Linked DNA regions of Mus musculus: regions 2 and 3 are each reported to be linked to region 1. Evidence: microRNA targets listed by miRTarBase, many of them from high-throughput screens and not tested one by one. Region 1 holds a microRNA gene; each other region holds the end of a gene's coding sequence.

Evidence for each region. Region 1 holds the annotated microRNA mmu-miR-5107-5p (UGGGCAGAGGAGGCAGGGACA, at 1,054-1,074, shown strand). A microRNA usually pairs through its seed, bases 2 to 8, with sites in the 3' UTR of a target mRNA and lowers its output. Matches are read on the target gene's strand: a 7mer-m8 pairs with bases 2 to 8, a 7mer-A1 pairs with bases 2 to 7 and ends in A, and an 8mer does both.
Region 2: the mRNA of St3gal5 is a reported target of mmu-miR-5107-5p. Seed matches in the 3' UTR shown: 7mer-m8 at 3,089-3,095.
Region 3: the mRNA of Rbm34 is a reported target of mmu-miR-5107-5p. Seed matches in the 3' UTR shown: 7mer-m8 at 2,705-2,711.

What each region holds. Positions count from the first base shown.
Region 1 is chr18:60,811,033-60,815,184 of GRCm38, forward strand. Mir5107 (microRNA 5107) reads left to right here and starts at 1,044; the gene lies at 1,044-1,131. It overlaps Cd74 (CD74 antigen (invariant polypeptide of major histocompatibility complex, class II antigen-associated)), which reads left to right. Exons shown (of 9, transcript NM_001042605.1): 7 at 262-453; 8 at 827-889; 9 at 1,120-1,620. The coding sequence ends at 1,130. Tcof1 (treacle ribosome biogenesis factor 1) reads right to left here. Exons shown (of 25, transcript NM_011552.3): 23 at 3,926-4,020; 24 at 3,491-3,536; 25 at 2,723-3,156. The coding sequence ends at 3,510.
Region 2 is chr6:72,153,347-72,157,498 of GRCm38, reverse strand. St3gal5 (ST3 beta-galactoside alpha-2,3-sialyltransferase 5) reads right to left here. Exons shown (of 7, transcript NM_001035228.2): 7 at 2,929-4,068. The coding sequence ends at 3,829. Among named protein-coding and RNA genes, the nearest start is that of Gm38832, 6.5 kb to the left of the region's middle.
Region 3 is chr8:126,945,442-126,949,593 of GRCm38, forward strand. Rbm34 (RNA binding motif protein 34) reads right to left here. Exons shown (of 11, transcript NM_172762.3): 11 at 1,731-4,102. The coding sequence ends at 3,794. It overlaps Tomm20 (translocase of outer mitochondrial membrane 20), which reads right to left and starts at 480. Exons shown (of 5, transcript NM_024214.2): 1 at 163-480. The coding sequence starts at 283. LOC115486982 (a long non-coding RNA gene) reads right to left here and starts at 156. Exons shown (of 2, transcript XR_003947623.1): 1 at 1-156.

The DNA of each region.
Region 1 (4,152 bases):
AGAATCAAACTGTAACAAAATCCAGAATAATTATTCACTGGGGCAAATGACACCTATAAGTCATGCTTTCTCTTTTTGGATCTTACTGGTTTCAGACTCAGGCCTCAGTTTTCTCATCTAGGCTATGGGTCTACCCCATAAGGAAAGCAATTTGGATAGGCATTAAGCCCATGGCAGTGGTGTGTGTGTGTGTGTGGGTCTCTGCTCTGCTGAGATCCTGGCCCAGAGTCCACCCACTCACTGTCTTCATCATGCCTTCAGTACTGACCAAGTGCCAGGAAGAAGTCAGCCACATCCCTGCCGTCTACCCGGGTGCGTTCCGTCCCAAGTGCGACGAGAACGGTAACTATTTGCCACTCCAGTGCCACGGGAGCACTGGCTACTGCTGGTGTGTGTTCCCCAACGGCACTGAGGTTCCTCACACCAAGAGCCGCGGGCGCCATAACTGCAGTGGTAAGCAGGGGACACCGTGTCACATAATCTAAAGGACTAGGAAGCTCTAGGAAGGCCAAGGGTCCAAAGGTCCCTCCCAGTATACATGGGGTCAGGACATGGGTTGGCTGTGCCCTGGGAGCATCCACCATCAGTCACACACACACCAGCCCCTTTCTCCACACAGGAACTCCTTGTGTCCTTCTAATCTTTGTCTCTTCTTCTCCGCACGCTGTCCTGCACTGGAGTCCCACAGACCCACCAGTCTCACTGTATCCCCAACCACACTGTATGCTCTGGTGCCTCCTTTGCCAAGTTCAAGGCACAGTGGCAACAGTGTGTGTGTGTGTGTGTTGGGGTAAGAATAACAGTGAGCCTGATGCTTCCCTTGCAGAGCCACTGGACATGGAAGACCTATCTTCTGGCCTGGGAGTGACCAGGCAGGAACTGGGTCAAGGTAAGGGGGGGATCACAGAGGGGGCCACCCACATGCAGACTCTGGTGACACTGGGACATTCATCACTATCACTGGGATGGTTTTTCTAGAATGGGATGGTGGCTGGGAGCACAGTACTACCTGAGCTTAGCAGGGGGACAGACTGATCTGCAGTTCCAAGATGTTGGGCAGAGGAGGCAGGGACAACAAACTGGTGGCCCAGCTGTATCAACCTGTGCTTCTCTTCCCAGTCACCCTGTGAAGACAGAGGCCAGCTCTGCACAGCAGCAGCGCCCCCTGCTCTCCTGTGCCTCAGCCCTTCTTATGTTCCCTGATGTCACACCCCACTTCCCGTCTCCCTGCACCCTGGGGCTTGAGACTGGTGTCTGTTTCATCGTCCCAGGACACGGCAAATGAAGTCAGAACAGAAGGAGGACGCTGGAGGGCCTTGCTGGCTACCGCTATCTAAAGGGAACCCCCATTTCTGACCCATTAGTAGTCTTGAATGTGGGGCTCTGAGATAAAGGCCCGCAGACAGGGACAAGGGATGCCCTACCCTTAACCTAGGCTGGACACATTTGCTGCCTTCTCCTCAAGGAAGAAGAACCCAAGCCCCTCCTCCCAGTAACCCCTCCTCACATCCTGCCACCCCCCCTCAAGCCCCACCCCCTTTCAGGTTCCTTGCTCAGCCAAGCTTGTCAGCAGCCTGTAGGATCATGGTTCAAGTGACAATAAAGGAAGAAAGTAGAACACTCTTGCTTCTGCCTCTTCAGTTGGGATCCAGTTAGTTTACCCCAAGGCCGAGGACAACCTTAAATCTAATCCTCTACGTACATGGACTGGGGAGATGGGTCCCAGACACACGTGGTGTCTACTTAACAGTCAGAAAGAAACAGACTCCTGCTCGGTTTTAAAATCACATCTCATCACGTCCTAGCTTCCATTCCTCCCGTCCCCAATTCCATTTCTGGACTAAGGACAGCGTAAGTGTGATGACAGATGGCAGTGGACACAGGGACCTAGTGTCAGGAATGGATGCAGGTGGGGGCTGCCAGTGGCTGTCTGTCTGGGCAGGACCTGTGTCTTGTCAGCTTTAGCCCACTGTCACAGGAAAAGGGAGCGGATCCCTCACCACCAGGGACTCCGAGATGAACGTTTAGGACGCTGTTCCATTTTGTAGGTTTAAATACTTCTGCGAGTCAGCCGAGCCAAGGAGAGGCTCTCTGTATTCTGATCTAGACCTACATCCCACACTCTGATCCACACTTGAGAATGGATGGAATGGCTGACTGTTGGGTATGGCGTGCCCGTCCCAAGGCTCTGAGCACAGGGTCCCCGAGACTTGCACCTGCTCCTTCTCTGTACTGGTTTTTTGTTTTGTTGAGGTGAATGTTCAGTGATTATTCCAACATACTTCAGCTCTGCCCACTTCTTACTGTCACCAGCACAGAACTGTTCCCCAGACAGAGGGTGACTCAAGGCCTAGCTCACTGGGTCTTCCCCGCTTCTCATGCCAGCCACCACTGTTCGCCACTGCCTCCCTCCACATCGTAACTTGTTTCCAAAGGCCCCCTGGTCACTTGAGCCATCTACCTGGCGTCTGACCCACCTTCAGCTCCTTTTAAGCTTATAGGCCACTTCCTACGGGGAGCCGTCCCTGCATCAACTCCCTCCCTGGGGAGCTTCACTGAGCCTTCCTCTTTAGCAAACTGTCCTACTCACAGTACCTAGGGCCTTGGCTTGAAGTCAGGAAGGAGCCCTGAGTACTGACCTGTGCATGTCCAGGGTCACTACACTGTCTGTCCTAAGTAGCCAGTAACAGTCCGAGTCCCAGATGCATGGGGAAGGCAAACCTTTATATTTAAAGTCTTTTATTCTGAGTTCTTTAAAAAACAAAACCAAAATAGCTGGAAAAATTGATGGGGCAAGGCTTCAGGCTGCGCCAGGGGTCCAGGGTGTGGGATGAACCACACGCGGGACCTTGCTGGCTCTGCAGATAACATGGAGGGAGGTCCGGAGGCCTCTGGGCACGGTGGATTTGAAGGGAGAGAGGCAAGTCGCTTAAAAAAATAGATATACTATACACATGTCACGTAGCACTCAGAGGGGGTGTGTGTCCCACCTCGCTTCCTCCTGGTACTGCAGCTTCCCTGCGGGTTCACTGGTTTGGCCAGCACGCGCCAGCCATCATCTTCTGCTGAGGGAGGGAAAGTTAAAAAGTCCAGGCCCAATTCACGCTGGCCAGAGGTCAGAGGCCTGGGGATGGATGGTCACACTCTGCCAAGATTCTAGGAGAAGAAAACAAACCAGGCTTTGGTCAGCTTTGCCGACCTTTATCTCCACAAAAGGGAACAAAACCAAGGGAGGGATGGGCGGCAGCTAGCTTAGGCACCAGACTCCCTCAGGGTGGACCCTCTGCATGCTGCAGCAGCAGCTGCTGTCCAACCAACCTGAGGAAAGAAGTCTCTCTCTCTCTCTCTCTCTCTCTCTCTCTCTCTCTCTCTCCCTCTCTCCCCCTCTCTCCCCCTCTCTCCCTCTCTCTCTCCCTCTCCCTCTCTCTCTCCAACTCCCTCCCACTGGGCCTACCCAAGCTGCCCAGAAAGGCTGGACGCAGTCAGGTACCTGCTCTATGCGTTGGGCCTCACACGGCAGGCTCGGCTGACTTCTTCTGTGGGGAGAGAAGGAAGCAAGCTATCAGTTCTGTGGCTTCTCCTCACCACCGCTGTCCCACAGGTCCAGGACAGAACTCCCTCGAAGGATCCACGCCCCCATAGGTGTAAGGATCGAGACCCACTGATACCAGCCCTGGGCAGAACTGCCTCTGATCCCAGGAAGCGGCTGGCTGGCTGTTTCTTCAGTGGGCTCCCCGCTGGCCAGCCAACCTGAAAGCTGACCATTGTCCCGCCTGTGGAGGTCTCTCCCATCACCCCTCCCCTGCTCCTCCTCACAAGGTCCATTAGATTAAGGGACTGGAAAGGTGGCATGGGCCTGGTCTAGGTGTTAGAAGGGGAAGGGTTTGAATTCCTAGCCCTGAGACCCCTCAGGAACTCAATCTACCTTCTTCTTTTTCTTCTTCTGGATCGGCGAGGCAGAGTCTTTGGCCAGGGACTTTTTTCCTTTCTTCTTTTCCTTTTTCTCCTTGTCTTTTTTTTCTGTGGGAAGAAAGCGAGCTTCCTGAGCAATAGATTTTGACACTGATGGGTCAGCGTCAGGAGGCCCACGGCAGCTCGCGGCTCTTAACATCAGGCCCTGATAGGGCCAGGATACCATCCATGTGCCAGGCT
Region 2 (4,152 bases), not on the chromosome of region 1:
AGGAAGGGTGAGAACCACAGAGGCCCGTGCCACTGTGCCAGCTTATGTCAGGGACTGAACTCAGGGCTTCATGTGTGCTAGGCAAGTACTCTATCAACAGATTGACATCTCTGGCTCCAAACATGCTTTTAAGAACAGTAACTAAAAGAACATAGCGTAGTCGAGCTATCACACTGGGACATATCTTTCTTCTTTGCTCAGTAGATTGCAATTTCTTTCTTTTTCCTTTCCTTTTTTTTTTTTTTTTGTTTGTTTGTTTTTCTAGACAGAGTTTCTCTGTGTAACAGCTCTGGCTGTCCAGGAACTTGTTTAGTAGACCATGTTGACCTAAAGAAATCACAGAGATCTGTCTGCCTCTGCCTCCTGAGTGCTGGGATTAAAGATGTGCACTATCATGTCTGGCTCAGAAATTTCTTAATATCGGGAATTAGTAAAAATCTTATTCAGACAATTCAAGTGAACTGTTAAGCCTGCACTTTCCCTGTAGAGAGCATGGTCAAAAGCATCTGTGTATGCATGTTTAATGAGTGGCCATGCATATTTAATGAGTAGCCATGCATGTTTAATAAGTAGCCCTCCTTTCTGGTTTCTCTGAGTCTTCCACTGAGTGTTGGTTGTATGAGTCCATTGCTTCGTGAATACAAATTCATATCTTCTTCATATAAGGAGTGTGTTTATACCTCCTGAATGTATCTATCTATGTTCATGTACACTCATGTGTACTTGCACACTCGCCCGCTCACACAGATCATACATTTGGATGAAGGGAACTTCTCAAAGGAGAGGATATAAGACACATTCCTTAATTATGCTACAATGCTGGTCTAAAATGTTCTCTTGAGATAATACAAGGGCAAATTCTATAATTCCTTTGATATCTAGTAAGGAACCAAAGGACTGGAATGTTGCTAAAGCAAAGGGATTCTTGACTTTAACAATTGCTTTTTGTTGTAGTAACTAGGGTCATAGCTGCTACTCAAACCACTGGTGACCAAGATGTCATCATTCAGTAAGAGTAGTCTAATCTGGGTCCAACCAATAATGAAGACACATTCTCCCCCATGATCTATGGAAACAGACGTTGCTTTTTTATGTAGAAACAAGAGGAACACCGAATTGCAAGAGGCCTAGCATTAGTGGCATGATTTTATAAGGTTCTGGCTGAGCTTTGTCCAAAACCATGAGTCACCCCATACGTATTGCCATCCCTAAAGCATCCCTACAGCCAGAACTAATTACACTTAATATAAGGATGGAGCATAGGCTCTGCAGGTAAAAACAAAACAAGTAAAATTCACCCAATGTTTTCCTAGGAGCACATGAATAAACAGGCCACATCTAGCCTGCCAAAGTGGCTCAAACACTAGCAATTAGCAGTGTGCCTCAAATGTTCTGTCTTCTAGGTGACAGTGACTGGTGTTACTGGAAGTCAACCTTAGAGAAGGTCTGTTTCCACACAAACAGGTATGGGGGTGCAGTCAGGGATGCTTAGGTGTTGGGGGCTGGGAAGATGGCTCATCAGTGACGTTCTTATCACATAAGCCTGAGAACTTGAGCTACAGACAGTGTGGTGGTTTGCATGGGATGCTCGCCATAGTCTCGGGCATTTGAATACCCGGTCCCAGGTTGGTGGTGCTGTCTGGGTAGGTTTCAGAGGAAGTGCATACTGCGGGTGGGCCTAGTTCTGTTTCCTGCTTGCAGTTCTTATATGAACCCTCAGCTACTGCTCCAACTGCTATGCCCGCCTCCTGCTGCTTCTGCTCCACCAGGGCCGACTCTTACCCCAGATGAACTCTTTCTTCTGTAAGTTGCCTTTATCACGGTGTTTGAAATGTAATTAAATCAGGTAGACGGATCCCAGGAGCTCATTGGCCTGCCAGCCTGACCTCCTTGGCAAGTCTCAAAAATTAAAAGGTGGATAGCAAGCGAGGAAACACTACTCGAGGTTGGCTTCTGATCTCCACATATACCTGCATGTACATACAGGTATGCATGCACATGTGCACGTTCATGCCCAGAGCTGATTAAAATGTTCTTGAAGATGCTTTCACACCATCTCCTATTGGCTTGTGGTCTCCGGGAAGCCTTTTTATCTATCTATGGCATTTGTTCACTGTCTATGAGGAAGTAAAAATGGGAGGGAGGGGGCAGACACAATACAGATGCAGATAGAACATTGAAGAGGATGCTGGCAGCAGGACCAGGCCTGAAAGTTGATGGGACAAGTATTGGTATGGACTGGGGACAGGATTCCCTGGGGCTGCAGGGCAGTGGAGTGACCCGAGGGAGGCACTGGAGGGCATTGGCAGGGAGGGACTACAGAGGAAAGGCCCAGCACAGCGGATGGATGGAAACAGCTGCATACACCTTCTGACACCAGGGACCAGGCCACTGAACGGACAAGCTAGAGCCTGGCAGAGAGGCAACTGGTAACTGCTGTGGTGGTTTGAAGGGGAACGGTCCCTAGGGGCTCATATTTGAATGCTTGGTCCCCCACTGGTTTGGGAAGGACTAGGAGGCGTGGCCTTGGTGGAGGGGTGTCACTTGGGGGTGAGCTCTGAGGTTTTAAAAGCCCCCATTCCCAGTTAGCTCTTTCTGCCCTGTGCTTGTGAGATGTGAGCTCTCAGCGACTGTCCCGGCCTCCTGCGGCCATGCTCCCTGTGAAGGTCACAGATTCACCCTCTGGAACCTGAGCCCCAGATTAAATGCTTTCTTTTAGTAAGTTGCTCTGCTCATGGAATTGGTCCCAGTGTTGAAAGTTAAGGCACCCATCGCCTCTCCAGAGGGGACCCATGACTTAGATCACACAGCTAGGAGTGAAGCACCCTATCTGACCACCACTTTACAGCATCCAGGCGAGGTTTCCACTTAGCAGAGAATGAAGAGATTTTCCTAAAATGAACGAATGAAGGAACAAACACTCAAAGTCAGGAAATCACAGGGGCTCCTCAAAAGCTTTTATTCTTTTCTTTCTTTCTTTTCTTTTTCCTCTTCCCATGGCCTGGATAACAAAGGCTTTGTCATAATTTCTATGAACCATCTCATACAAACAGCAGAGTGCCTTAAATAACACTTAGATGATTTGGAAGGGCAGAATGAACACACACACACACACACACACACACACACACACACACACACACACACACACACCCCTCCAGAAGTTTAAAAGTGCCCTGACAGTGTAGGAAGTGTGGCTTCTTCCACCCTGGGGCAACATCACGGCGCTCAGCTGACAGTGGCTCACCAACCAGCAGCCTCCGGGACAGCTGCCCTGCCTGAGTCCTGCGAGCCAGCTGGCAGATGGACTAGCAGAAAGGGGTTATGAACTTGTCTAGCAGCTGCCAGAGGTGATGAGTAAGCCCTTTATCCTGGAGGCAGGAAGTTTCTCTGCCATCAGTTCTACCAAACAGAGCAGCAGACCCCAGTATCGGGCATCACAGCCATCATCCAGGGGCCAGAAGCCCCTCTCCTCCCACCTCAACACCTGAGCAGAGTACGTGTGTACAGTTTCTGCAAATTAAATTACTTCCTTAAAAAACAATAAACTATACAATTCTCTTTGAAAAGTCCTTCCAATCCCATTCTTAAGATTAACTTACAAAACTGTGCAAAATCCAACACTGACTTCAAATAAATAGGACGAAGAGGTGCACAGAGCAGAGCTTTTGTTGTTGCTGTTGTTCTTTCTTTTCCTTTTTTAAAAAAAATGTGGAGTTTGAAAACACTAGCTGCACATCGAAGCAGCTGCAGGGTGAAGTCCCTGTGGAGGCTGCTCACCACGCTCTCAGCTGCGGTGCTGGGTGAGGTTTGCCGTGTTCCGAGTTCTCAGTGGATGCCGCCGCTGAGGTCCTCCACCACGCCCTCCTTGAGGAGCTTCAGGAGGAACTTGGTCTCTGTGGTCACATTGTGCATGACCTGCCAGTGCATGGCGCCCATGCACTGACTGTCAAAGTAGTGCAGAGGGGTCCTGGGTTGACTGAGGTCGTAGCCAAAGCCTGCCAGGCTGACTTCATCACACAGATGTGTAGCCAAGACAACGGCAATGACGCCGATCGTGGGGATGTTCTGGGAAGAACACAGACCAGTTTATGCATTAAAAAATTAGTATTTCAATTATTTTTAACTCATTTCATTTTTGAGAAATATATA
Region 3 (4,152 bases), not on the chromosome of region 1:
AAGGCAAAAAAGTGCTACCCCTCCCCCGAATCAGCATGCATTCCACCGCCAGCAAGATGGAGCCAGGTCGCCTCCAAGATGGAGGCCCGCGGGCACAGGCGGGACCCTGGCCGCAAGAGCGCGACGCCGGGGAGCACTCGGGGGCGCGCGGGGCCCACTCACGTTCTCGAAGCCTGTTCTTGAAGTTGGGGTCACTCCGCCTTTTGCGGTCGAAGTAGATGCAGTACCCGATGAAGAGGGCACCGCACACGCCCGCGGCGATGGCGCTGTTCCGGCCCACCATCTTCGCTCGACTGGGGCGTACGCCGGGCCGCGGCAGCCCGCCTGGCAGCGGTTAGCTCCGACCGATCGGAGCACGCCGGCCGCTCGCAGCCGCCTGCCTCCAGTCCAGACGGAAAAGGCCGAGCGCGAGGACTTCCGGCGCGCGAGGACCCCGGGGGAAGGTCCGCGGCGGGCTGTCCGCGGCGGTGCCTGCGCGGGAACGCCTGGTGCGCACGCGCAGATGGACCCAGTCTGCGCGGCTGAGACGCCAAGCTGGGGGCGGGGCGTGCACTGCAGAAGGATTTGTGCGTCATCCCGTGACCAGGGGGTCAGGGGCAGCACGTGTTTGTGGCGTGCTGAGTCAGAAGCCTCTAATCCACTGTCCTTGCTAATGAAAGACGAAGGTGGGAGCCGGCTGAGAACAGCATCTCATCTCACTGTGTCCTTCAGGAAGCCTGTGACTTGAAGTGCATGCGTTTGCTTTTTAGGTTTTTGAGACGGGCTCTCCCCTTGTAGCATAGTAGGGTCTGGAACTTGCTGTGTAGTCTGCCCTGGCCTCGAACCTGCAATCCTTTTGCCTCATCCTCTGAGCTGTGGTTTTAAAGGAAGACCTGAGCCGCCTGATCTGGCAGTATTTGCTTTGTAAATTGCGTTGTGACTGAGATTAGACACAATGATTGACTGCAAAATAATTTTATGATGTAGCCCTGGTGCGGAGAAGAAAAATGGGTTAATTCGTTCAAAAAAATTTAACCTGTAAGGAATGCAGAAGGGCAAAAAAAAAAAAAAAAAAAGTCTATGGGTGGCCCTGATTTGTGCCGTCATTAAACTGCAGTCTTGTCGTTCTCTCCCTCCTCCACAACCCCCATCAAGATTCCCAACCAGCTCGTTACTAATGCTCGAACCCACCCACCACACTTGTGGCTGGCTTTTGAAGGAAAGGCAGTCTGGTACAGCAACTGCTCCCTTCACTGAGGAAACATCGAAACCTGGGACAGTGACAAGCTATGCTGCAGTCTCTGAGAATTGGGTACAGTGATAAGAGGTAGCCGATGCAAGCCTTTCCTGCACCTCTCATTGTAAGAATGCTTTTTTTTTTCATTTATGCATATGAGTGCTCTACCTGCATGTACACCTTCGTACCAGAAAAGAGCATTAGATAGCATTACAGATGGTCGTGAGCCACCGTGTGGTCGCTGGGAATTGAACTCAGCACCTCTGGAAGAATAGCCAGTGCTCTTAACTGCTGAGCCATCTCTCTAGCCCCTTTAAGGATTTTTTGAAGCTATGTTAAGGGAGAAAAAAAGTTTACAAGAAAAAAATGTTTCATACTCATGACTAATCAGTACTTAGCCAGCACTTTTATAACAAAGCCAACTTCTATCCACTCTTGACCACTTATATACATAGTCTTGTGGCTATTAAGTATTTTATCAGATAGAACGTACCAAGAAATTACACTAAGCATCTTTAGAAAATTTCCTACAAAATACATTTTTTAATGATTTACACAATCATAGTAGCACACACATTCTAAAGGAGGAATTTCAACAGTTACACAGTACCGAATTCCAAAGTATCTAGGGCCAGTGAGATGGCTGAGTGAGTCCATGCTTTGGAAGGAGAAAACTCCAGAGTTTTCTTCTGGCCTCCACATTCACATCATACACATATTAAATAAAGTTACATCTATGCATGTATATAACCTGCTCACTCACAGGAGCTGTAAGTTGTACATAGATTATATATGCACGCACAATCTAATGTTACATCTTTATATAGTTTATGCAAAAATGCTCCAGAGTGATCAGGTAAAATTGCTGAAATTTAACTGAAAAGGTTCTAAATACTGTAAGGAAAACCAACCATAAATTATCCAGTCTTGGATACAGGAAATAGAGCTTTCTCTGCTGTAAAAGCTACACACTTTTATTTATTTTTTAATATTTATTTAATGTGAGTACACGGTAGCTGACTTCAGACACACAGCAGAAGAGTGCATCGGACAGATGGTTGTGAGCCACCATGTGGTTGCTGGGAATTGAACTCAGGACCTCTAGAAGAACAGTCAGTGCTCTTAACCACTGAGCCATCTCTCCAGCCCCACACTTTTATTTTTTACTTGTATATATGTGTGTGTAGGTTATGTTAGTGAAAAAGTGCACAAAGTCTGGGGAGACTAGAGGAGTTGGACCTAGGAGCTCAAGTTACAGACAGTTGTGAACTGCTTGACGTGGGTACTAGGAATTGAACTTAGGTACTCTGAAGAGCAGTGCATGCTCTTAACCAAGAAACCAACTCTCCAGCCTCTAGAGCTATGGGGTTTGTTTGTTTTTTGTTTAAGATTTATTTATGTGTAAGTACACTGTAGTTGTATCCAGACATTCCAGAAGAGAGCATCAGCCAGGCATGGTGGCGCACGCCTTTAATCCCAGCACTTGGGGGGCAGAGGCAGGCGGATTTCTGAGTTCAAGGTCAGCCTGGTCTGCAAAGTGAGTTCCAGGACAGCCAAGGCTATACAGAGAAACCCTGTCTCAAACAAACAAACAACAGAAGAGGGCATCAGATCTCATTACGGATGGTTGCGAGCTACTATGTGGTTGCTGAGATTTGAACTCAGGACCTTTGGAAGAGCAGTCAGTATTCTTAACTGCTGAGCCATCTCTCCAGCCCCTAGAGCTATGTTTTAAAGACCTCATTAGGTTTTCTACATGGCATTTCCCAAAGACAGAACTTTTACAACTAAAAGAGTGAAAACTTATCCTACCCTCTTGCCTACTGGACTCTGCCTGCCTGAATCAGCCTTGGCTTCCTGCTTCCCCCACTTCATCCTGGATCCAGCCCCAGCTTGGTAAGATGTGTCTGGAACTTAGGGAATGCAGCACCATGTTGTCATGTCATTCAACTTTAAAGACTGCAGTTTAATTAACATCATTTATTAGATGCTGTCTTTAAACTTTCTGGGACAGCTGTTTCATTCTGAGTGATACTAATTTAAGCATCACATTTTCCTGGAAGAGTATTTTTCTTATGAGCACCCCCCCCTCCACACACACACACACCTAATAGCCAAGGACATCATTGACCACTGTAGTCACTGGCAACGAATTAGAAGATAGTCACTCTTATCCTATCAGTCTTATTGGTTAGCAATTATTAGATATATGGGATAAGAAATGTAGATCTATACTACAATTGCAAGAGAAAGAAAAATGAGAAGTGAAGAATGTGCGTGTGTGTTTTACACAGCTCACAAGTCTTTCTTAGGGACTGTGACTATACCTGGAATCAGTATTCTCACAGTGACCATTTGAACACTTATCCTAAACACAGAGTATTAATGTTTATTATTTTTCTTTAAATACATTTCTAAGAACAAGGCTTCAAAGAAGCCTTACATATAGCATGAATTAAAAAAAAAACAAAAACAAAAACCAGACACCGTGGATGCCTCCACATTTTCTACATAATCCATAAAAAACCCAGACACTCATTGCAAGGTTTCACCACAGAAAGGAGGCAACCTCAGTTATTACTGCTGTTTTCTTGGTTTCTTCATTTGTACTTTTTTCTTTTGTCCTTTCTTTTTCTTTTTCATGAGAACTGCCTTTTCTCCAATAAATGCATTCTTGGAATGGAATTTTCCTTCTTTGGAATGGAATTTTCCTTCTTTGGAAGTAAAATTAAGTCTTTGCTTAGGTTTAATGACATCCTTCTTCAAGCTTGGATTTGAATTCTGTTGTTTTAGTTTTTCTTTATTAACAGAACGCATGACTCTCAGTTTTCTTCCCATTAGCTCAGAATTATTTAACTTCAAAGCAAGATGAACAGCATCTGTGTTCTGCAATAAGGAGAAACATTAATTTCCACCAGAAAGTGATATGCAATGAG